Danio rerio: one gene and its partners. The protein of the gene in region 2 purifies or fractionates together with the protein of the main gene of each other region. This does not show direct contact. Links are inferred from orthologs where the notes say so. Each region holds a gene or a part of one and is shown on either strand. Other genes may lie near its edges. The genes, in order: mta2, kpna2, chd8, ran, polr3f, polr3c and polr1e.

Region 1 (3,500 bases), on a different chromosome or scaffold from region 2:
TTGGAAAACAATAGGAAAGTAGCACGTTGCAAAGGAAAAACGCATTTTGTGTGAACGTCCCATAACAGCATCAGAATACATAAACTGAATGAAAGTAATCAAATGTGAACACACCCTGAAACGCATACCTGGTGTCTTTCGTAGCCACAAACACCACAGGATTGGGAGCATCGCCTTGACTGACTTTCTGCCTCTTGATGACGGACTGGTTGGCTGCTCTCATTCCCATTGCAAACGGTCTTCCGTTGGTGGAGAGCAAATGACCTCCAGCCTGTGGCCAATGAGGGTGCTTAGATCAATGTACGCTACTTTTTCTACCTCTGGGAAAGGCTAATGTACATTAGTAAGGGATACTCACATTGTCGAAGGGCCTTTTGCCCAGCAGGGCAGATGCGCTGCGAGGCTGGTTAACCTGGTTACGGTTGATCGGGGTTGGAGCACCTCGAGGGGCTTTGAGTTTCAAAGGAGCTTGAATGGCTAAAAAAGTAATAAATAAAACGAGTACATATTACTCTGAATACTCTGAATAAAATTGTGTAAAATAATAAATAAGAGTCAAATGATCAGTCTTGAGCCATACTTATTCACTTTTGAGTAGTTTTTTCCCCACCACGAAGCCAAGAGTATACTTTGCAGTTATTTAGGTGTGTGTTTACATTTACAGTTGCAACTCACTACATTCGCATCAGTGTTAATTTAATCAAAAGAAGTGGCTTGACAAACAAAAACAATCCCTCAGATTATACTAAAAATGAATATTGGTTAGTTTTTTTTTAGGACAAGTGTCATTGAACAGTAAGAAATCTCCACTGTGCTGAGCGAGAGCGCTTCTCTACTGAACAGCGCATCAGCGATGACGTAAGCGTGCCAGGGCTCGAATGTAAGGCGAGTGCGGGCCGCCAGGGGAGATGGGAATGGCGATAAGCGTGCTTTGGCCCAGTTCAAGGCAACTGTACATAGTTTGAGTACGCCCTTAATACCTTCACACCTTTGAATGCTGTATCCAAAGGCAGCATTTTAGAGCTTTTGGACACAGCCTTTAAATAAGATCTGTAATAATTCTTCTTGTTTTGATTCATCTCATCTATTTCAAAATGTCAAGCGAGTGGTCTGCTTCAGTGTTGAGACCAAGTAGACAAAGTATATGCATACCTGCTGCCAATGCACATTGTGTGTAGACACTTGCATATACATAAAAACTGACTGTACACTTTAGGCTTTAAAAGTCAGCTAATTTGATAAGATGTAAGCATGTCTCTATTATGAAATAATGCTGAAGCCATACCCAAATCTTTAACTATATTGATGAGGGATGGTCGAGGAATAGGCCGGTTTTTCACACCACTCTTTGCTGCTTTGGGAAGTCTTATCATACCTAAAAGAAAAGAAAGAGGCAGTCAGACACATCTTCATTCAACTGTATAAAACAGCATTTTTTTATTTATATATTGCATAAAAAGACTCACACTCAGCTTTGACAGCATTGGCGTTAATGGAAGCGTACGGGCGACGGGCTGCTCGACGAGACTGCAGGATGTCCTGGCACACACGACGGGCAATTCGAGTGAGTTTGGTGGTCTGCAGGATAAAGGTCTGCCTGTTTTTGGCCAGAAGTTTAGCTCGTCCCGCACTGCTGGTAAACGGGGACATTCCCTGCACCTCCTGACGGGTCATGTGACCACGCGGAGCTGCTTCCTATTGGACAGATATGATGTTCATTTAGCTATATACTCATTTTCTGGCTGTATATATTTTTAAAAGACGTAGGTGTTGACATACTGAGCTGGCTCTTGTGGCGCCCTCTAGTTGAGTTGGAGTCTTCAGACCACCGTATTTCTTCCAGTAAATCCAACAGGACGAACATAGTCGACACTGCATGTTAGGAGGACCCCATGCATACCACTGCTGAGACTGGGCAGCTGCAAGAACAACAGGCCATGATAACACATACAGTATAGTGCATGGGAATTACTCAGCTTGTATCTAAATACTGTTTGTGGATGTTTGCAGTGGCGAGTTGACTCACTGTGGCAGCTTTCACAACTGAGGCCTTTCTGGTAGCCGGTGGCACCGTTCATGCCAGGTTTATTTCCAGGTGCTGTGATCTGGTTGGGGTTGGGTTTGGTGCTGAAGGAGGGATGAACATTTTGATTGGTAAACAGAAGATAGACATGTACAAACCATTTGAGATTTTCAAGAGACCTCACAGCCGAAAGTTAATTGCAAGTATAAAATACACAAAGTAGGGGTGTTTGCATTAATTGATTAACTGTTAACCGAAGGAATGCATATTTTATCAATTAATGTATCAGTTAAATGGTTTAAAATATTCTTTTTTTTTAATTAGTATTTTTTAAGTTTTGCTGCATAAATGTACAACATGTATTTGTTAACCCGCCGGGCGGTAACAAGTGCAACTATAGACGTATTGTGCTAAATAAGCAAAATGAAAGGAGTGAAAATAAAGACATTGATGGTCACAGTTTGAAACAGACAAGTTGATGCCAAACCAGTGCTGATAACCCTTTTCCAGGATCTGCATTATAAACACCTCAGTGTCTTAGCAAAAGTAGAGAAAGAAGCCGCAAACTTTCTGAAATGTCCACTGTTGGCCACAAGTCGGAGCAACCCACAAACCAACATTTTTTTTCATTGGAAAAATTATTTACAGTTCTTATAAAAGATCCATTAAAAAAATAGCCAACATAACTTAATCTACGAATTAGGGTGCTTTCACACCTACACTTTTGTTTCGGAACGTATCTCGTTTGCCCAGTTAGCGCGGTTCGATTGGCATATGTGAACAGGGCAATCGCGCTCTGTTCCGCGCCAAAGTAATCGCTCCGAGATCGCTTGAGTGAGGTGGTCTCGGCTCGATTGAAACGAACCCTGGAGCGGTTCGATTGCAGTGAGAAAGCGATCCGATCCGAGCGCGCTTATATCACAGTGTTTTATGGATATGTAATAGGCTTACGGCTATATGAAGAGAGAATTATGAGTAGGGCGGGAAGTTTCGCGAGTCTCCGGATGCCCGCAAACGAGTGATGATCTCCCGGTAATCTCGCGTCTCTCTCCCAGTCCTCAAATAGGCATCGTCGCGCACCCTTCTCACCCCTCCCCACCGCATCTCTCCTCAGACACGTCACACGCGCGCACCCTGTCAATCACCACCAAACCACCACCTCTCCTGACAGCTGAGCGGGACGCTGCAAAATAAACCCTGACACTCTGACCAATGTGAGGAGAGTTTACTCGCACGTGACTTGTTTTAGCTCTTTTGGTCCGATTAGAAACTTTGCAATGTGAAAGCGAACCGCTCCAAGAGCAAAGAGCAACAATGTAACAATTTTAATCTCTGTTTCGGAACAACTGAATCGATTCACAGGTGTGAAAGCACCCTTAAACAAATCCAATGATTTAGGCTATTTGATTTTTGCATATTAATAGCTATGTAAAATATAAAATGTATATACAAATGAATGCAAACTATGTAATTATAA
Region 2 (2,277 bases):
TCTTTTGGTGGCGCAACAGAGCTGGGAACATGGGAAGAGCACCAGCCTCCAGCACAGCCTGCGTTTGTTCATCTGTGCCAGTGACAATGTTACCAATAGAACGTAGTGAGGGGGTCTGTGGCAGGAAAAAATAAAAAAGTTATTATTAAATTTACCATTTTAAACGTATAACTCAAGAGTTCACTACTTTCCACCAACTTACCACAATGGACAGCTCCCCAGATGCCAGTAGCTGCACCAGTCGAGGAACCACACCGGCGTTCACCACAACCTCAATGCGATCATTGGGCCCGTCGGTCAGGTAAGAGATGGCCCAGCAGGTGTCCGCAAGCACTTCTTTGTCACTGTGCTGCAGAAGGCAGATGAGTGTGGGTAGTATCTGTTTCACAGCCTCCAGAGGTGGTGCAGGGTTCTTATTGCGGCACAGGTTTGACAAGGTCCATGTGACGTTCCTCAGGTAACCAGCCTGTAGAAGAAAAACTGGCTGGTCAGGGTAATTCTACACAGCTTTCACGCCATCTAGCGGTAATGCATGCTCACTACAGTTTAAAACAAATAGTCCTGAACACCAAAAACAACATTGTTTGAGGTTTAGAGATAATACATGTAAAAACCTTTATTTTAATTTTTTTTAGCTAATAATTTTAAATACGTTTTATGCAATACACCTTTCAAGAACCCATGATCACTGTACAACAAATATACACAATTCAATAATTTAAAAATAAACCCACAGTATATTTAAAAAAAAAAAAAAAAAAAAAAAAGAGAAGATTATAAAATACAAATAGCCAAATAGCTTTGGCAGAGGGAACAGAGTGTATGGAGGAGAAGGATCTAAGGGAGCAGAAATGAGTGATGATATGGAAGAGATCAGACAAATAAGCTGGTGTGAGGTTATGGATAGCCTTAAAAAGTATGCAGGACGATTTTATAATCGACTCTAGGTTGGATTGGAAGCCAGTGCAGATTTTGTAAAATGGGGGTAATATGGTGAAAAAGAGTTTAGTGATGATGTGGGCAGCTGAGTTCTGGACCAGTAGAAGCTTATAGACGGATTAAAAAAAAATGTAATACATTAATAGGTTTTCTAAATGTAAATTTATAGGGAGAATGTTACAAGTTGCAATTAGCAATTTGTAGTCATCAAATTTGTAAAAAAAAAAAAAAAAAAAAAAACACAATTATTTTATTTTACAATCATATGTGCGCCCATAGGCGTTCTGATCTAAAAAAAGATGGCGTGTTGAGGTGCATTGCTATTTTGAGAAACTATAATAGTCGGTTCTATAGACCTGAACAAAGCCGGTCTATTGTCCAGCAGAGCACGTTAGTTGTGCGCCTCGCTTACACACTGCTTAATACACACAAAATGTAGAGCAATACGCAAAAATCTTTACATATGAAAAATTAAAATATAATACATATTAAGGATTAAAAATATTACAAAAGATTATTTTCAAGCCTAAATTAATATAAAAACTATACTTTCATGCCTTCATCCCGGGAGGCTTTTTCAGTTCATTCATGACAATTTGCTAATGTATAATGTATTATTTTTAGCAGTATTATATGCATATTTATATTTGCTTAATTAAAAACGAGCTTAGATTTGCCCACCTGTCAGGTTTCAGACCATATGGGAGTAGCATGTGTATTAGGATATAACTCAGGTTTTTGAACACACTTCGTTATTATTGTTCATTTATTTGTTTGCTGGAAATTAGAACAGATTTTAGAAATAGTTTTAAAACTAATCTTTGCGCTTAAACTAAATTAATTACTTATAGGCTAATTGATGTCGGTGCGTATGACACGTTTCCCTATCCACAAACGTGAAAGTTAATAAGGAGGCTCATTTCTCATTCTCGCGCTGTAGATGCTCTGTTTAACTGTTTTCTTGCTAGTGAAACGCTCAGTTTTTCCACTTACGTCATGTAAATAGCAAATGCGCTATGGTGCGATGCAACGCACTGTTAAAGGGAATGAGAGATGAGACTCTGATTGGTTTATTCTCAAAACACATCTATAACTCATTAATAAAATAAGCTGAACCCTTTCAGACCATGCGCCATGGCGCAAAGCGGATTTTTTCCCTCATTATTTAAGAAAAAGTGGATTCTGACATGCCCTAATGCGTTTGCACCCTGCGCATGGATTGTGAAAAGAGCCCAAGGTTTAAAGTAAATCTTAAGTGTATACCTTTATAATAAATTTAATATAATAATAATAATATCTATTAAGCTTAGAGTGTAAATAAACAAGAACAAAACTAAT
Region 3 (3,500 bases), on a different chromosome or scaffold from region 2:
ATCTAGCACTTCCCATAAACCCTAATGTTTTACAGAATACATATACTCTTGTTAAAAATACTTCAAAATACATTTAACTAACTGTCCACACTCAACAACATTGCATTCAATTGATCAGAAAGGTTTTATATATTATAAAAAACTAATATTTAAAACAGGGTTCTCAAACTGCCAGCCCGCAGGCCATTTGCGTCCCCCCCTCCTCCTCCCTCCGGCCCGCATATGATGTCAAAAATATGAGATTCGTCCCCACAAAACATATATTTTTGAATCACTATCATTGTTGTGCAGTGCAGTCACATATAGCCACTAGTGGTTTTGACCCCCCACCTACTGGACGTCTTAAGTACTGTACTATATGTTTGGGTTGCATTTGGTTTTTCTCAGCATGCGCTCGAAAGTACCACAAGCAGATTATTTTCTGGAGCTGATTTAAACGCTGAAATATCTGTCCGTAGATGCTCCATTTCTACTAAAGCTATATGTTTAAAATATTCAAGGGTGATTTGATTATAATTAGTTTTACACCACCTGTATCGTGTTGTACAAGCTCATCTCAATGGCTTATGGGTTATGAGGGTGGTGTAAATATGATAGTTTTGCTAATATTCCATTCAAATGCTCTCATTTAATATGCATATTAAGATTTGTATAAAAAATCTGCATTAGTAAAGTTTGACTGCTGGCTGAAATGAACTTGTTAAAGTAATAGTGAATATACACCCCTACCCCCTTTTTGTTGTAGTTTTACAAAAAAAAAAAAGTGATTGAGAAGAACAATTGCCAGTAAAGTCTCTTACCCAATCTAAGATTACCCAATCTACTTTCTGCTGTTCTTGTGTTATCTGTTAAACTTTTGGTTGAGTAAAGATTGGGACACAGTAATTATAATATTACTATGCCTATTATTAAATTGTAGTATTTTCATAGCAACTTAAACTACCCCTTCAATACGTACAATAAGAAACAAAAAAGAAGAAGCTGTGACTGCGTATGCTCTGGGGAAGAAAGTCTGAATGCATCAATTACATGAGAATTCCACTTCCACTTTTATGAATTGTCAGTCATTGATATGGCCCCCGCCAATTTAAGTTTGAGACCCCTGATTTAAAATCACAGCTAATAAAAATGTTTTAGTTTCCTTCAAAAGATTTCTGCCTTATTTTGGAACCAATAAGCAAATATCATATATTTTTTCTACAGTTAATTTCGTGAAAATAAAGCATTATATTTTGTATAATGTGCTTTCTAAACGCAACGAACTATTTTTGTCTGGAGTAACAGCGCATTGACTATACATTTCACTCTAAAAATATCATGGAAAACTAACAAAAGTGCACCGAGTCAATTTAGATATCATGAGGACTTCAAAATAAAGTGTCCGCTTACCTTGTTCTCTCTCCACATCACTGTCTCCACTATCATCTGAGCTGCCTGAATGCCGAGAGGAGGAAGACGAGCCTGAATCTGAATCAGAATCAGAGTCTGAAGCCCCTCCTCCTCCCCCTCCCAATTTCCTCTCACTCGGCCCGTTGTTTTTGCTCTTCTTCCAGACCCAGCCAGCCTGAATGCCAACTTTGCTGTCAGAATGAGAGAGCAGCATGGCCGGAGAGTCTGACGGACAGAGAGCCTCCACACCCAGCAGTCGAGACTCATCCTCCAGGCCCTCTTCTTTGATGCCGGCTGGATCCTGTGACTGACTGAAGGCGTGGATTTGTGCAGCTGCTTGAGCCTGCTGGTTCTGGAGGTAGTCGAGGCGGCTCTGACTGAAGGAGTACAGTGGGTCAGAGAAGATGGAGAGTTCAGTGCGGCTCACTCCATGTCTGGCAGCAGCTAAGAGAAGCTCGTGGTCATGCTTTGGGATGCTCCACCAACTGGGCAGGTCAGAGGTTTGTGGTGCCAGACTGAGGCGTTCCTCGAGCGAGGGGTGAGGAAGAACACGCTCACGCAACCGACACAGCAGGGTGACCCTGTAGAGAGTTCGTGAGGCTCGCTCTTCTGTGATCGGGGCCAGAGACTGAGACATATCTTGAGATTCTAATAAAGGAAGAAAAGATGACAGGGAAAAAAAAGTGTTATTAAAGAATTAGAAATAAAGATTTTTGGTGTTTTGCTGTAGTTTTGTTTGGTGGGACTATAGCAATCTAAAAAAAACCTGTGTATGTGAGAAAGCCCAATTTTAAAAATGCTATTTTTATACCAGGAAAAGAAATTAATTATTTACATTTTTATTTAACTTTATTAAATTATTAAACAATTATTTACTTCATAACTACTTAAGCCAAGCTGTAAAATAATTTTAACCTTTATGATATGATATATGAAATATTATAAAAAGTTCAAGAGAAGCCATGCGACATGGAACTTATTCTGTATAGTGATAGTTTAATATGTTATTTGGAGAAAAAAAGACCTTTTCCCTCCAGTAACTGAAAGATAAAGAGGAATATTATCGGATAAAATGGGATTATTTACTTTGAACAAGCAATGACTAAACCTCTAAATTGCACCTTAACCCTAATTTGTAACTAGCAGTTCTTGTTTTCTATAAGACTTCATGTTGTTAATAGGGAGTCAACGATTATAGATTTTGGTTGTATGATTATAGTCTGAAAAATAATCATGGTTTTAGATTTATCGCGATTATCATGCATACATTAATAACAAAACACTACTAGTTTAGAAAATACCTTGAGAACTCCTTATATTTTAATGTGTTTTTATTGCTGTGGAGTAACCAATCAAGATAGCACAAAATGATGATAATCCATTTCTCTATATACTTAAAAATAAGTTTAAAAAGTTTTTGGCATTGAAACATAAATAATAATATTACACTGAAAATAAATGACAGAATAATAAATTAAAAATATATAGCATTTGTCTAATGTAAATCTAAGCTACATATTAGAGAACAAATGTAGTCAAAGGCTGCTGAACCTCTGCCTGAAAGGCACTTTTGATCAACTGTATTATGAAATTGTTTGGTATTTTCATTTTGTAGTTTTTTTCTCGCTTTGCAGCATGACGTGCAGATTCTATAAATAGTATGTACCTGATTGGTCCATTTCATGTCACGTGACTCTCAGTGCACTCGCACTGTGCACTAGTGCACTTGGAAAGTGTGAGCGGCGCATGCACGTCACTCACAATATGCGCACAAGAATAGACATAACGAACTTAAAAAGTATAAAAAAATAAATAAAATATCTTAAGTACAAAGAATATTTTTACAACAACTACCATTTCAAACACGTTTTTAATTCAATCTTGTGTGTTTTAAAATATTTTTATTTATTTAATTATTATTTATTAACAATGAACATCATAAAACATCCAATTTATAAGCTATTATGACACTATTATATTTTAAACATTAGGGGTGTCAAAATGACTTGTTTCATCTGTGCACCGAGACGCACACACAAACAATTCAGTATCCGAGCAGTAATAGATCATAACCAGTTATTATGTACTGACGTCACTAATCTCATATGTGC
Region 4 (2,736 bases), on a different chromosome or scaffold from region 2:
GTTATTATTAATCATCAGCTTTTAAATATAATGTTGATTAATGGGAGCCAGATATTTCAGCTCCATGGCTTCTCGGCTATAAGGAACCTACTACCCCTGGACCTAAGGAGCAGTGAGTCTTAAGTCTAGCACCTGCATCTCCTAACATGCATTTAATATTTTGTTCAGCAACGTTTCATCAATTGTTTTTATTTGTTTAGGGATGACTGCTGATGCTTGTTATAACTTAAGGCGCCCTCAAATGTCATTTACAAATAAAATGAATTATTAAATGGCAAAACAATACACATAAAAGCCAATTTTAATCTAGGAATTCTAGGTCTAATGACTCACTTTTTAAAATAAATTTAAATGAGAGCTGTGTAAAAATGAATGGCACCCAAAACAGGCTTGATTTGACAATTTACGTGTATATTATGTATATGAACATTGCACGCATATTTAATAAATGTTTCTATAACGTTACTGGTACAAATTGTATATAAATATCCATGTAACAATTGTTTTGTATTGTTTTATTTCTAACCATGCGTGCAGCACAAGTATTAAATACAAAAACATGGTCAAAAACTTTTGGATGCGATTAATCTTTATCCAGCACTAAATACGGTTGAAATCACAGCACAGATTAAAAATACAGAGTAGCTGATGAATACAACGATTACACAAGATACTCAACCAATAGTTTTATTTTCAGAGACATTATCAAATTCAGGTCAAATAAATTGAGGAGAAACCAGGCAAGGTTATATTGAGAATGTTTTTATTCCAAGAATTCCTCTAAGTGCTTAGAGCCTTACATATCGAAGTAAGCACTGGGACACTTAGCCTGCTCTCACACCTTTGAGTGAGCGAATGTGTCAATGTGTAGGCATGTCTGCATGTGTGTATCTGGTGGCAACAGTTAGCATGTCTACAATGAAATCAACCACACAATTTACTCAAATTCAAAACACAAAACAAAAAACCGAAAATTGAAAAATAAAAATATTCTGCGCTGGGGGAGGGAAGGTTGTACAGTAAAAGGGGCAGGGGAAGGACCCGTCACCAGGAAACAGTGACATCGCCTTGAGGTCAGAGGCTAACAGGTTAAAGATCGTCATCTTCATCTGGGAGAGCTGTTTCTGATGCCACCTAGAAAAAAAAAAAAAAAAAAAGAAAAAAAAAAACATTACATATTGAATGAAGTTTTGGCAGTTGCAGTAAGTTTGTATGTTTGTGTTATGAAAAATGTACATACTTTCAAGTCGTGCTCATACTGTGCAGCAAGTGTTGGGTCCATAGCAATTTCAGGTGGTGCAAGAGCAGGCATTTCCACAAACTCCAGATTGGGATCTCCAATCAGCTTCCGTGCGAGCCACAGGAAGGGCTTCTCAAAGTTATAATTACTCTTGGCAGAGATGTCATAGTACTGAGGAAAGAGAGAGACATCACATGAATGATCTGACAACCTGAACTGGCATTCACATCCACAGGAGAAACATCCTGAACACTCACATCACAACAGAATAGAAGCATTGACAAAATCTATCAGTGTATCAGATTAGCCAAAAAGTAGCATGAATACTTCTGATGCAAAATGTTGTTGATTGGTTTTTAAAATGTGGGTTTTAAATATAAAAGCGAAGGCAGATGAACATGATTTCACACTAGTGGTGCATGATTACAGCAAAAATGGACAGCTTGATATTTCGATTTTCTGGATTGTACTGTGCCGATATCTTGGCTGTTTTATGACTTTTAGATAAATGGAACAAAATCCATCAGTAGGTACCGGCCAGTCTGTGTTGTAGCTGGGTTAACCACCCAAAAAAAGGAAATAAATAAAAAAGCTCTCTCATGCACTTGTCATTTCAATCCTAGAGGCCTCACTGTTTTTTGGAATAGAAGTTATTTTAGATGAAATCCAAGCACTTTATGAAGCTCTATGTATAGAATATCCAGAAAAGAAATAAGTACCATTGTCAAACCATTTCACGTAACCCCAGTCATTCAACTAATTAAAGCTCAAAGAAAAACAAAACGAACAGTAAAAACAACCATCATAAATGTCTTGCACATCATGGGAGAGTGTGCATTTGCACTACAACACTTGCGTATTGCACTACAGACAACAAACACTTTGACCAGTGACCCTGCACCATGACCTGATGCAGAAGAGTAGACCTTGGTGAACAAAGACATTCATTTTTTTTCAGTCGATCCAAGTGTTTTCGGCTCTTTGTATGATTACAACAAAACTATTAAAGTCACATGGAACTTCTGTTTGGTTTGCAGGACTGTGGATGTTGTGGTCCAGGGAGTCAAGAGAGCTCTTGATTTTATTAAAAATATTGTAATATAGATTCTGGCAATGGGTTAGAACCAAATGAGGGTGAATAAATCAGTTGAATTTTTGGTTGAACCAATCCTTTAATGAGAAATTAAATTTAAAAGATAAAAATGATCCATTCAAACTGATAATTTATAAAGAAACAAGCAATTATGAATGAATCATTAAATCATAGACTTTTAATAAAATCTTATTTAAAAACAAGAGCAGAGATTCGCAAATCTGCTCCAGTTTTGTTTGGAATTGTTTGTTTATGATCACTTAAAAGAAATTTTTAAATGCCAAGTTAATTATGTGAATTTTGCATTCACAACTTTCAGTTTCACCAATTAACAGGCTGCAAAGTTAAAGTTTTTGCAGGGTTTCTGCAAGTTTCTTTTAAGTAAATTTTAAGACCCTAGTGA
Region 5 (3,500 bases), on a different chromosome or scaffold from region 2:
GGCGACAGCACTATTTACTGCGCCACTGCATCGCCCCATAATGCGTGTGTACGATGTATTTATTATATAGACACTATGCAGTTTCTTGACCACAATGAGAGCATAAATCCTAGCAATATTGTCTTTTTAATTTTCTGTCAGTATAAATAAAAGCTACAATTTTATATAATACAACGTGACTACAGAAGACTCGAGCTTTAAATAGGAAAACTATTAACATTTTTTTAATTCTTTCAACGAAATGCAAATGGTCTAATCCAATTTAATGCATTATGCTAAGCTAAGCTAAAAGAGACGCCTCCAGAAAGAAAGAAATCGTCTAAATGGATTCAAAAATGTTTCAAGTTAACTGTTAAACTCTAGGAGACTAGTGAAAAGAGCATGTTCCTGTAATGCTGTGTCCACACCAGATGTGGCATGCGCTATTCGCTCGTTTATAAATGTGTGAACATTTTGAGTTTACTCGCTTCATTTGTGCATCATCCGCTTCACAACAGATGCAGGATCGCATCATGGTTAGGGCTTGTCTTCCTGGCAACTGTAGCTTTGTTGCTAAATGGCTAACATAGATTTTATTGAGTGAATAGCTGTTTTTACGTGCTTTATGAAGGCTGAAAAACAGCATCAATTCGTTTGGAGCCATGTCTGAGTCCACTATATCCTTTCTGAGTTGCAACCAGCTCTGTGAGTTCATAAACTCCTCCAGAAACATAATCTGGATGATGGAGGCATTCAGCAGTGCTTCTGATTGAGCCGAGCCCAGTTTGATCAACGGTTGTCAGTGTCGGCAGGGGGATTTTCCCTCAGGACACCAACAACAGGCGCTACGTCATAAGCATACCCCATACAAGAACAAGCTCCTGATTGGTTAATGTGGTGAAGCCTCCTGATTGGTTAACTGTCTGCTGAAGTTCAGATTTTACCAAATCGGGCAATTCGCTCGAAACGCACGTCAAGTGTATCAATAGCGCAAAATGCTCAACTTGCACCACATCATTCGCGCCACCTCATTCGCGTGTATCGCGCAGGATATATATTCGCAGCTTTGCTTTGACTTAACATGTAAATCACTCGCACTTGGCACTTCTTCCGCGTCTGGTGTGGACGCAGCAAAAGAGTTAAACTTAGATTCAGACCATTCAAATTTAGATATAAGAATTGCCAAACTAAGAATGCAGAATAAATAATTGATACTGATATTAAACATCATAACAATCAGAATTCAGAACCCCTAAATTTGGAATATTCAGACTCGTCAAATTGTCGAATCTACTCAAATTAAGAATTCAGAGTCATCATATTCAGAATTCAGACCAACCAATTCAGAAAATGTAGAAACCAACATTTTAAATCCAAAATACTGCTTCATACAATACAGAATTATGAAGATTCCTAATACAGACTAGGGCTGCATGAATTCACAATATTTTATTTATACGATATATATTGTGATATTGAATCAAAAATTTCACCAGATGAATTGAATAAGTCTTTTTGGAAAGAGAGACTGAATCTACATAAAATATAATAAACCAATCACAAACATTGAGATATATAATAGTGCACTACACCATACAGATTAAATAAACAGTGCTTTTTGATTTGTCTGGAAGTCTAACAATATTCACATACATAAATGTAAAATAACACTGTATGGTCTTTGTCGTATAAAATATATATATAAATACAATGAATCGCTTTTAAAGTTAGAAACATTTTTTTATGCCTAAATATTTTAATCTAACTTAAATGATAAAGACACACATAAGTAATACATGTCTTGTATGTTTATGGTTAAACGTTGCAATACCTCCACAAATCATGAGAGTTTCAAATGTAGCTCCTGGTCAAAAATAATACCTGTTCAACATTGCAGATCCTGCGATGTGACTATTGCAAAATGCGCATATTGTGATATCGATGCTGAAACTACATATTGTGCAACGCTCATACAGACTCTTCAGAATTCCCAATCACCACATCTAGGATTCAGACTAAGCCCAATAAGAATTCAGGCTTTAGAATTATCAATTTCAAATCAGACTTATCAAAATCAAGACGGAAATTTAGATTTAACCGATACAGACTCAGGCACAGTAATTCATATTGGAAACATTTTAGAACATTCTGAATTACTCCATTCAGACTTGTTTAATAGTTTCTTTCAAAAAAAAAAAAAACAGTAAAGGTTTACCGGGCACAGTCCACATGGTGTTTTAACCAGGCCAGTGGGTTGAATTATGGGATTGACTCCCCTGTAGAGCTTCATCTGTCCATCCACACTCCCTACTGTTCCCTCTTTAGCGGCAATTATGGTCATTTCCACTTTTCCATCAAAGATCAGTGTGTTCAAGATGGTCTCGATGTCCTCCATGGACAGATCCACCTGCACACAGGAGCAGCATATTATACTGAATTTTTCCGTTCATGTTTTCAGAAAGCATATTATTGACACTCACTTTGCTGATGCCGAGCTCACAGATGTATTTCCACACTTCATGAGAGGTGGCAAATGAGCTGTTTCTCTGCACCATAGGGCTCTGCTTACTATCTCTCGCTGTTTCAGCCTAAAAAACAAACATATTGCTAATTATTAAAAATTTCACATTTTTAAGTAAATGCAGGGTTTATTTTACTGTAAAATATGGATAAAACTAAATTCCATCATTCAGTCATCATTCACAAAGGTGGAGTGTTTCTTTAAGAGTCAAATTTGGAAATAACCAAATTAGGAAGTCAGAATCAACAATTCACACTAATATTCAAAAATCATCACATTCAGAATTCAGAACCGTTGAATTTGGAAAATTGAGACTCAACTTCAATCAACTTCAGAATTAACTTACATATTTCTGATTAATTCGGTGTCACACTAGTAAGTTGAAACGCAGTTTAAGGTTTGCTTTCACACCTATAGATCAATTTTTTTGTTCTGAAAATTGCTACAATGTTGCTTTTTGTTCTTGATGCGTTTTGCTTTCACATGACAAAGTTTATAGACAGATCAAAATAATTAAAACAAGCAACTGAACACCGAAGCGCTCTAGATTTTAAGCCGAGACCATCTCATTCATTCATTTTGGCATTCATAAGAACTCAATCGCGGATTTCACATATGCCCAAACAAAAGCTAAGGTGGCAAACGTGCCACATTACGAAACAAACGTCTAGCTCAAAACTTTTTTTTAATGGGTCTGCTTAAGTTATGATTAACTGATATTTGGCTTTGTTATTTACTAATGCGGGTTTCTTAACCTGATAAAAGGATTCACCTTAAAATAACCCAGAGAATTTTATTTCTTATAAAATTATTTATTATTTTACATTTATGCAAACAGAATTTATTTATTTCTTATTTTAATATGTTAAGGTGAAATAAGAGACAATAATTTATCTATGTTAATTAATAGCATCATTTATACAGTCATACAGTTATATCCATTAGATTTTAATTAATGACTGCCAAAACAAAAAGTTTTTTTTTTTCAGTAGACTGTCTT
Region 6 (3,500 bases), on a different chromosome or scaffold from region 2:
TTTTATTTTTTCCACATGAGAAAAAAAAAGGATGCTAAAATTGCATTTGCAGCCACACACACACACACACACACACACACACACACACACACACACACACACACACAAACACAAACACAAACACACACACACACACATGCACACACGCACACAAAATGTGATTAAATACAAATCGGTCACTCTTTGTTCCAAAGGAAATAAACATCTCCATTTGACAATTTACCTTTATCCATCTATTTCACATCCTAAACTAGTCTACAGTCAGCGAGAGGCCTGTGTGGAGTTAATGTAGGATTCCAGAAGAAAAATGGTCTCATCCACCTGGTTTTCGCTGGAATCCAACCTGCCACCATGAGCACAAAGAGAAGAGATTTGATTAATGATTGACTGAATATAAACCACATGATTCGACACAATGTGTACTAACGCCCTGGCTGTATCCAAAATCACAAACTATACCCTTAATCTATTTGAGGGAGCAGTAATTTGTAAATGTGTCTACAGTGGACATTCTGAAGTGTGCTAAAATCAATCCCATAATGCAACTCGATAAAGCGCGAACAATCGGACGGATAATGAATTCCCGAATCTGACCACAAGATGGAATCCACAGTGTAATTCTGTCAGTGTAAGTTTCTAAATAATTCAATATTTAAAGGTGCTCTCTGTACGATTTTGACTCTTCAAATGCATAAAAATACCATAATATGTTTGCAGATACTTAAGAAACATGCTAAGCGAACAGATCTTGTTTATCTGAAAAACAATGCTGAAGTCAGATATTCTACTTTGAAAATGTCTGTTACATGCTGGAACGCTGTCTTTGTTTTGGTTCTTTTAACCCACCCAGTGCCACTTTAGCCAATTATATTTCAGCAGCCCGAGTTGCCTTGTTGGAAAACTGCGTATTTTATTCATTCGCTATTCAGAAAGGCTTTGAAAACATTCATCCGTGACCAAACTGCAACCTCTGGTGGACAGTAGTAGACTCTGAAATGAGATGCCGATTGAGAGTTGCACATGAGGTTATCAATTAGCAGATCATTTAAATATTATGAATGTAATCATTAGGTGAGCAGAGGTAACATTGTAACCGTGTGTCCTAACAACACACTGTGTGAAAAGATTTGCCGTGATGAGCAATTAGGCTGTTTGCACCAGATGAAACACAACAGAAATTTAAATACAGCCATTCAGAAATACAGAATGTGCACTCAGTCACGAAACGGTAAGGTTTAAAAACTATTTAATACATGTTAAACCTCTTTAGGGCAGCAGTGTGTAGCACAATTACCTCACAGCAAGAAGGTCGCTGGTTTGAGCCCTGGGTGGTTCAACTGCCATTTCTGTGAGGAGTTTGCATGTTCTGGTGGGTTTGCTCCGGTTTACCCCACATGTCCGAAGACATGCGCTATAGGTGAATTGGAAACATTATTTCTTGCACATGACCACGCTAAACAAAATTGTTGGCATCCAAAGACTTGTAGACCTTTAACTTCTCTCTTGTAAAAACACTTAGAGCTTCAATGAGATTGTATTTTTCGATGCTTGGCCATTTCGTCTTATCCAATAATCATTGGGAGAGTGCTATCGCAAATAGACCTGTCAGACGAATGGCGCTCACCTTAATGTAAATTTAGCAGAATAACTGTGTTTATCACTTAGTGACGAGCTGTTATAATACGCTAAAAGCATTATGTAAATAATATATATAATATGTAATCAATATAACTTATTTCTAAGACAACAACGAACTCTGTACTACATCAGATGTCATTCCCTCGCTGTAAATGGTAGTGCTCCCGGTTTTTTAGCCATTGCGCGCATCTTGAATGTTTACAAACATGATAAATGTCTATTGAACAGTCTATTTTAGTTCCTCAAAATAGCTACGCGCCAACAATGCGCCTTAACACACCTCTTTTCTAGACTGAAACATCCATAAGTCCACAAAGTGCCTCAAATGGATTTGCTATTTAAACAACGGGGCGGAAAACGGGAAAATTAATGTTGCGTTGGTCTGAAAATAGCAACACGTCGTGGAAACCCATCTTGTGCCTTGTTACACCGAGTGTACGATAGGGCCCAAAGTGGTAAAGATCTGATTTGTTTGAAATCAGGGGATCGTCCTTTAACACTGACATTTATATTAAATGAACTGAATCAGTTTTTAACTAACTAGCACATATCTAGCATTCTACCACTGTACTGCTACCTGGCTGAAATGCTGAATATGTCCCACAAATTAAAATATTGTTATCAGATTTTTTAATTTGATCACCTATTGTCTTTCTACAATATATAAAATGCTACAGAAAGGAAGGGGACTTGGTTTGCAGTACTTGTTTATATGGTGTCGCAGGGACTCGAGCTGCTGTCTCTCAGGAGCTGTGATCATCTCCTCCACCTCGGTCAGCTGTGTCGCCTCCGCACCGGTCGCCTGCAAGGATGCTAGGATGGCCTCAATCCGCTGAGATTTCTCCAAAAGCCGCCTGTCAAAATAATAATAAACAAAACATTAATGACAAAATCAAAAACTTCCACAGTAGATTAAAGGGTTAGTTCACTCAAAACGAACATTATCTTAACCTCAAGTAATTTCAAAGCTTTCTTTTTATTCTTGAACACAAAAGAAAATATTTTCAAGAAAGCTCAAAACCGGAAACCACTGACTTCCATTCATAGTATTTGTTTTCCCTACTATGGAAGTCAATGGTTACTGGTTTTGAGCTTTCTACAAATGTCTTTGTTTGTGTTCAAGAGTAAAAAGGTTTCAAATTACTTATAGGTTTCCAACATTTTTCTAAATATCTTTGTTTGTTTTCAACAGAGGTAAGAAACCCATGAAGGTTAAAAACATGTAAAGGATGAGTAAATGATCATTATAGCTTCTCGAGTGATCTATCCCTTTAAATGTTTTAATGTTGAAAAGGAGAAGAGACTTGCTTGTTCTCTTTGGTCTCATACAGCCGCCGCTCAATCAAGTTCCCAACTGTCTGTAAAGAGGTTCACACACAGATATCAAATCAAAAAATACACTCATTAATTAAACAAATGCTTTAAAGCTGTTCGTGCGAGCTACGTACCTTGTAGCAGTGTTGCAGAAGTAGTCTTGCGGTGGGCAGCTGATTAACTGTGTACAGGTAGAAGGTTCGAGAGGGTGCGTGATCAGGTGTTTTGGGGATTTCCTTTACATATAATACAAAAGGAGTGAAAAGAAGTCTTGATAAGGGCCAGACAGAATCTGCAGACATGTTTTTACTATTTCTGCTAAGAATTTTTAAAACATCTGCGGATTCATGCGGAATGATTTCAGGATTATCGTAACTAAAAACACAAGAAATAAAAGTAAATAAAATAAAACCTTTTAAACTTTTATTTAATGTTTACAAAGCAAATCCATCTAGATTCACTTGTTTGGTAAACAAAGCAAGTCCCTCATTAAATAGATCTGCTAAAAGAGAATAAATATGATTTTAAAAACTGTACTGTAAATAAAT
Region 7 (3,500 bases), on a different chromosome or scaffold from region 2:
GTCTACAAGGAATGAAGTTTGTGGACTACAAGAAAATACACCTTGGTTAAGGAGATCACAAACGGTTCAGGTTACGCGCATTCACCCCGCACATACACCATTTGCAGCAAAGGGGCGTGGCCAGATGCGCTGTATTGTTATAGCAGAGAAAGCTAAAATGCAGTCCAAACGCTGCTTTTTCCACAGAGCTTCTTCTGTTTCTGTATTTGGGCTTCCAAATAACAAAATAAAGAGAGAAGTGCTTACAGTTTAATTTTAATTACGTTCCAGTGAATTTTAAAAACATGTGTAGCTAGCATTTGACAAAAAACAGCTTCCGGAATGTCTCCCAGTTCAGTGCTGGATTCAGCTAAAAACTCCTCAAAGAAGGAGCAGCTTCAACCATAATAGCAGAAGGTGTGGATTGTAAAATGTCATTTGTCTCTCAATGTAGCCGCTCTCCAATCTAAGATAACAAAATCGCAAAATATATATGAATGTTTCATATTACTTGCACATGCTTATTCCAAATATATGTGAAAGACACTGGTCAGATTTTATTTTGGAGAGCACGGATGAGGTTCAGCTATGTCCTCTTAATTTTCTGTCTGATTGAGACTCAAACTGATACGGCTAACAGCTGCTCTGACTGACAGTACAGTGGACCCGGAAAGTATTCATAGGGCTTGACTTTTTTTTTTTTTGTTACAGCCTTATTCTGAAATGGATTAAATTCATTTTTTTCTTCAAAATTCTCCACACAATACCCCATAATGACAATGTGAAAAAAGAGTTTTTGAAATTGTGCTTGGCACACCTTGGCTTTGGGAATTTTATTCTTTGGGAATTTTTGCCTATTCCTCTTTGCAGTACCTCTCAAGCTCTATTAGATTGGATGGGAAGTGACAGTGGACAGACATTTACAGATCTCTCCAGAGATGTTCAATAGGATATGGGTCTGGGCTCTGGCTGGGCCACTCAAGGACATTCACCGAGTTGTTGTGAAGCCAATCCATTGATATTTTGGCAGTGTGCTTTGGGTCATTGAATAAAATAAAAAAACGAACATCTGTTATCAAATTAGCAATAATTTTATGTATGCTCATTCATGACCATTTCAGATGTCCATATTGGAGTGTATATATAAATCTATGATATACATACAATAGGATTAAGCATTTTTTTGACCACATTAACGCTTGACTGGAAATTGTTTACAAACATTTCCATTTTTGAAAATGCACACTCCGAATGGGGACCAATTCTCACTTTGAACTAGCTTGCATATTTTACACCTGTTCTTAGTACTGATAAACCACATATTAATTCCTTATCTGTCCAACCATATTTTATTTCCCATTATCCTCTCATATACCTAAACTCACAACTACCCTGCTAACTGTTAGTAAACCATTAATTAAGTGAGGCTAACAGTTTGTAGCTAATAGTGTATATGTGTTACTAAAGTGTTACAATGTGGCTGGACGATTTGGCCTGAAATCAAAATCTCAATTAATTGAACATTTAACTCGATTATGATTTATGAATGATTTATTTATTTATCTTTGGCCTCTTCGCGCCGCCACTTGTCAATGCTACCAAGCAGACCAATCACAGAGTTTAAGTTATGCGTCGTCACAACATGTAGTTACATTTTTGAGAGGTCAGCGTTGGCATTAGTCGAGGGGTATCCGACCATGTGAAGGCTGCACCAGTACATATGCTGTGCTCAACACAGAACTGTAAACAGAGCAGGGTCACGAGACTCCACATATGGTAGGAAAAGTAATTGATAAAATTGACCTGGAAAAAGATTGATTTTAAATTCTGAATGTCGATTTCGATTACTTTGATCAATCGTCCAGCCCTATCTTACAGCAGATGAATATATTATCCTATATCGAAACATATAACACATTAAATTCAGAAAAACCAACAAAAGAATTCTCAATATTAATAATATGTTTGTAAATGGAAGCATTGGACTGACTTGTTTTCGCTGATGCTCATGTCCCTGTGTAGGAGTGTGAGGTTTGCAGTCTGGCCACCCATGTGAAGCAGTAAAGCCAGACAGTAAGAAGCCATTTTCATGCGCATGGACATCGACACTGTGTTCCTGAGACTGTAGAGACAAAACATGCATTGATATACGGCCATTATCTGAAGGTTTTATCAAAAAATAGTAAATATTAAGACACAAGCACACCTGCCATTGTGGAAACTCTCTACGGTGAAATTCTTCAGCACTTTGTTGATGATGATTCGTGGACATCCATCGTCACTACCAACTTGTAAAACGGATTAAAAGCAATTCAGGTTATTTATTTATATATTTACTTAAAAAAAAACAGGGGCCATATACAATAAGTGTATTTGTAATCAATACAATATTATCGTCTATTGTACAGACAGACGCATTCAATATTTTAGCTTTGCTTCTGTAAAACTCACATTTAAAGGAAATTCGTTTCTGTAGCGAGGCTCTGATGACAAAGGAAAGGTACCAGGCACAACGACACTGTCTGTCTCGATCCGCCTCGTCTTTGGAAAGTGTTTCAAGATGTTTGAGAACTGTCTGCGGACTAAAAAAGGCAATTAGATTAGTACAAATAAGAATTTCAAAGTCTAATCAGGAGCTAAAATTGACCTCAAATTAAACTCTTTCTACACAAATTAATTTCCATGACTCTGAAACATCTCTAGAATGTTTGTAGGTTTGTTTTTAATTGAAGGGACAGTTCACCAAAAAAGAACAATTCTGCCAATTTCTCACCCTTTTTACAAACCTGATTGTGTTTCTTCTGTTAAACAGAAAAGAAGATTTTTTTGAAAAATGTGTTGAAAACTGGTAGCTATTGACTTTCATAGTATTTATTTTTCTTACTATGAAAGACAATGGTTACCTGTTTCCAACATACTTCAGTATATATATATATATATATATATATATATATATATATATATATATATATATATATATATATATATATATATATAGGTCAAAAGAAACTCAAAGGTTTGGAACTAATGGAGGGTGAGTAAATGATGACAATTTGTCACCTTGGAATTACAAGGTTATATCTGCGTTCTGAATAATTTTGAGATAATGAGCTATAAAGTTTTGACATTCCATAGCAAACAGTATGTGTGTAACATTTGTTTTACATATAATATAAGTCTTAAAATGTAAACAACTTATTTCAAATTTCCATTTGTGTAAACTATTCCTTTAATCTGACAGTAGGAATGCATTAATTTAATCTTAGTTAGGAGACTTAGATTCATTTGATATGAACGTTTTAAGTATCTAAATGATTACTGGAGACATTTAAAAACGATCAATTATAATCTAAATGATTAAATTGTTCATAGATAAATTCTATAAACATTCCATAGTTTACAACAAGCCTTCTCTGTTTTGGTAGTTTGTTTCCCCAATTACATTTTCCATTATTTTATTTTGAAATTATGTGAACACAAAAAATGATCAGAATATAACAGTGAGCATAAAAAATACATGT

The links.
Region 1: the proteins of kpna2 (region 2) and mta2 purify together in Homo sapiens (affinity purification with mass spectrometry; 4 studies listed by BioGRID and IntAct, with this or other methods). This does not show direct contact. The link is inferred for Danio rerio from reciprocal best matches to the Homo sapiens genes KPNA2 and MTA2.
Region 3: the proteins of kpna2 (region 2) and chd8 purify together in Homo sapiens (affinity purification with mass spectrometry; 4 studies listed by BioGRID and IntAct, with this or other methods). This does not show direct contact. The link is inferred for Danio rerio from reciprocal best matches to the Homo sapiens genes KPNA2 and CHD8.
Region 4: the proteins of kpna2 (region 2) and ran purify together in Homo sapiens (affinity purification with mass spectrometry; 3 studies listed by BioGRID and IntAct, with this or other methods). This does not show direct contact. The link is inferred for Danio rerio from reciprocal best matches to the Homo sapiens genes KPNA2 and RAN.
Region 5: the proteins of kpna2 (region 2) and polr3f purify together in Homo sapiens (co-immunoprecipitation; 3 studies listed by BioGRID and IntAct, with this or other methods). This does not show direct contact. The link is inferred for Danio rerio from reciprocal best matches to the Homo sapiens genes KPNA2 and POLR3F.
Region 6: the proteins of kpna2 (region 2) and polr3c purify together in Homo sapiens (co-immunoprecipitation; 3 studies listed by BioGRID and IntAct, with this or other methods). This does not show direct contact. The link is inferred for Danio rerio from reciprocal best matches to the Homo sapiens genes KPNA2 and POLR3C.
Region 7: the proteins of kpna2 (region 2) and polr1e purify together in Homo sapiens (affinity purification with mass spectrometry; 3 studies listed by BioGRID and IntAct, with this or other methods). This does not show direct contact. The link is inferred for Danio rerio from reciprocal best matches to the Homo sapiens genes KPNA2 and POLR1E.

Annotation. Positions count from the first base shown.
Region 1 is NC_133182.1:17,905,426-17,908,925, reverse strand, and holds part of mta2 (metastasis-associated protein MTA2), read right to left. Parts: intron 2,128-3,500; coding exon 2,027-2,127; intron 1,920-2,026; coding exon 1,780-1,919; intron 1,696-1,779; coding exon 1,467-1,695; intron 1,376-1,466; coding exon 1,286-1,375; intron 478-1,285; coding exon 359-477; intron 272-358; coding exon 129-271; coding exon of another isoform or gene 115-128; intron 1-114. UniProt on the Homo sapiens protein: May function as a transcriptional coregulator. Acts as a component of the histone deacetylase NuRD complex which participates in the remodeling of chromatin.
Region 2 is NC_133178.1:24,115,676-24,117,952, forward strand, and holds part of kpna2 (importin subunit alpha-1), read right to left. Parts: intron 467-2,277; coding exon 203-466; intron 116-202; coding exon 1-115.
Region 3 is NC_133177.1:41,117,520-41,121,019, forward strand, and holds part of chd8 (chromodomain-helicase-DNA-binding protein 8), read right to left. Parts: intron 2,038-3,500; coding exon 1,390-2,037; intron 1-1,389. UniProt on the Homo sapiens protein: ATP-dependent chromatin-remodeling factor, it slides nucleosomes along DNA; nucleosome sliding requires ATP. Acts as a transcription repressor by remodeling chromatin structure and recruiting histone H1 to target genes.
Region 4 is NC_133189.1:25,986,190-25,988,925, reverse strand, and holds the end of ran (GTP-binding nuclear protein Ran), read right to left. Parts: exon of another isoform or gene 2,615-2,736; intron 2,509-2,614; exon of another isoform or gene 1,412-2,508; coding exon 1,241-1,411; intron 1,135-1,240; coding exon 1,090-1,134; 3' UTR 501-1,089; downstream 1-500. UniProt on the Homo sapiens protein: GTPase involved in nucleocytoplasmic transport, participating both to the import and the export from the nucleus of proteins and RNAs. Switches between a cytoplasmic GDP- and a nuclear GTP-bound state by nucleotide exchange and GTP hydrolysis.
Region 5 is NC_133197.1:25,881,332-25,884,831, forward strand, and holds part of polr3f (DNA-directed RNA polymerase III subunit RPC6), read right to left. Parts: exon of another isoform or gene 3,323-3,500; intron 2,568-3,322; coding exon 2,460-2,567; intron 2,387-2,459; coding exon 2,195-2,386; intron 1-2,194. UniProt on the Homo sapiens protein: DNA-dependent RNA polymerase catalyzes the transcription of DNA into RNA using the four ribonucleoside triphosphates as substrates.
Region 6 is NC_133191.1:14,620,385-14,623,884, reverse strand, and holds part of polr3c (DNA-directed RNA polymerase III subunit RPC3), read right to left. Parts: intron 3,189-3,500; coding exon 3,087-3,188; intron 2,997-3,086; coding exon 2,947-2,996; intron 2,493-2,946; coding exon 2,343-2,492; intron 1,412-2,342; coding exon 1,295-1,411; intron 344-1,294; coding exon 262-343; 3' UTR 224-261; exon of another isoform or gene 1-223. UniProt on the Homo sapiens protein: DNA-dependent RNA polymerase catalyzes the transcription of DNA into RNA using the four ribonucleoside triphosphates as substrates.
Region 7 is NC_133176.1:21,140,520-21,144,019, forward strand, and holds part of polr1e (DNA-directed RNA polymerase I subunit RPA49), read right to left. Parts: intron 2,562-3,500; coding exon 2,431-2,561; intron 2,268-2,430; coding exon 2,186-2,267; intron 2,102-2,185; coding exon 1,970-2,101; intron 1-1,969. UniProt on the Homo sapiens protein: Component of RNA polymerase I (Pol I), a DNA-dependent RNA polymerase which synthesizes ribosomal RNA precursors using the four ribonucleoside triphosphates as substrates.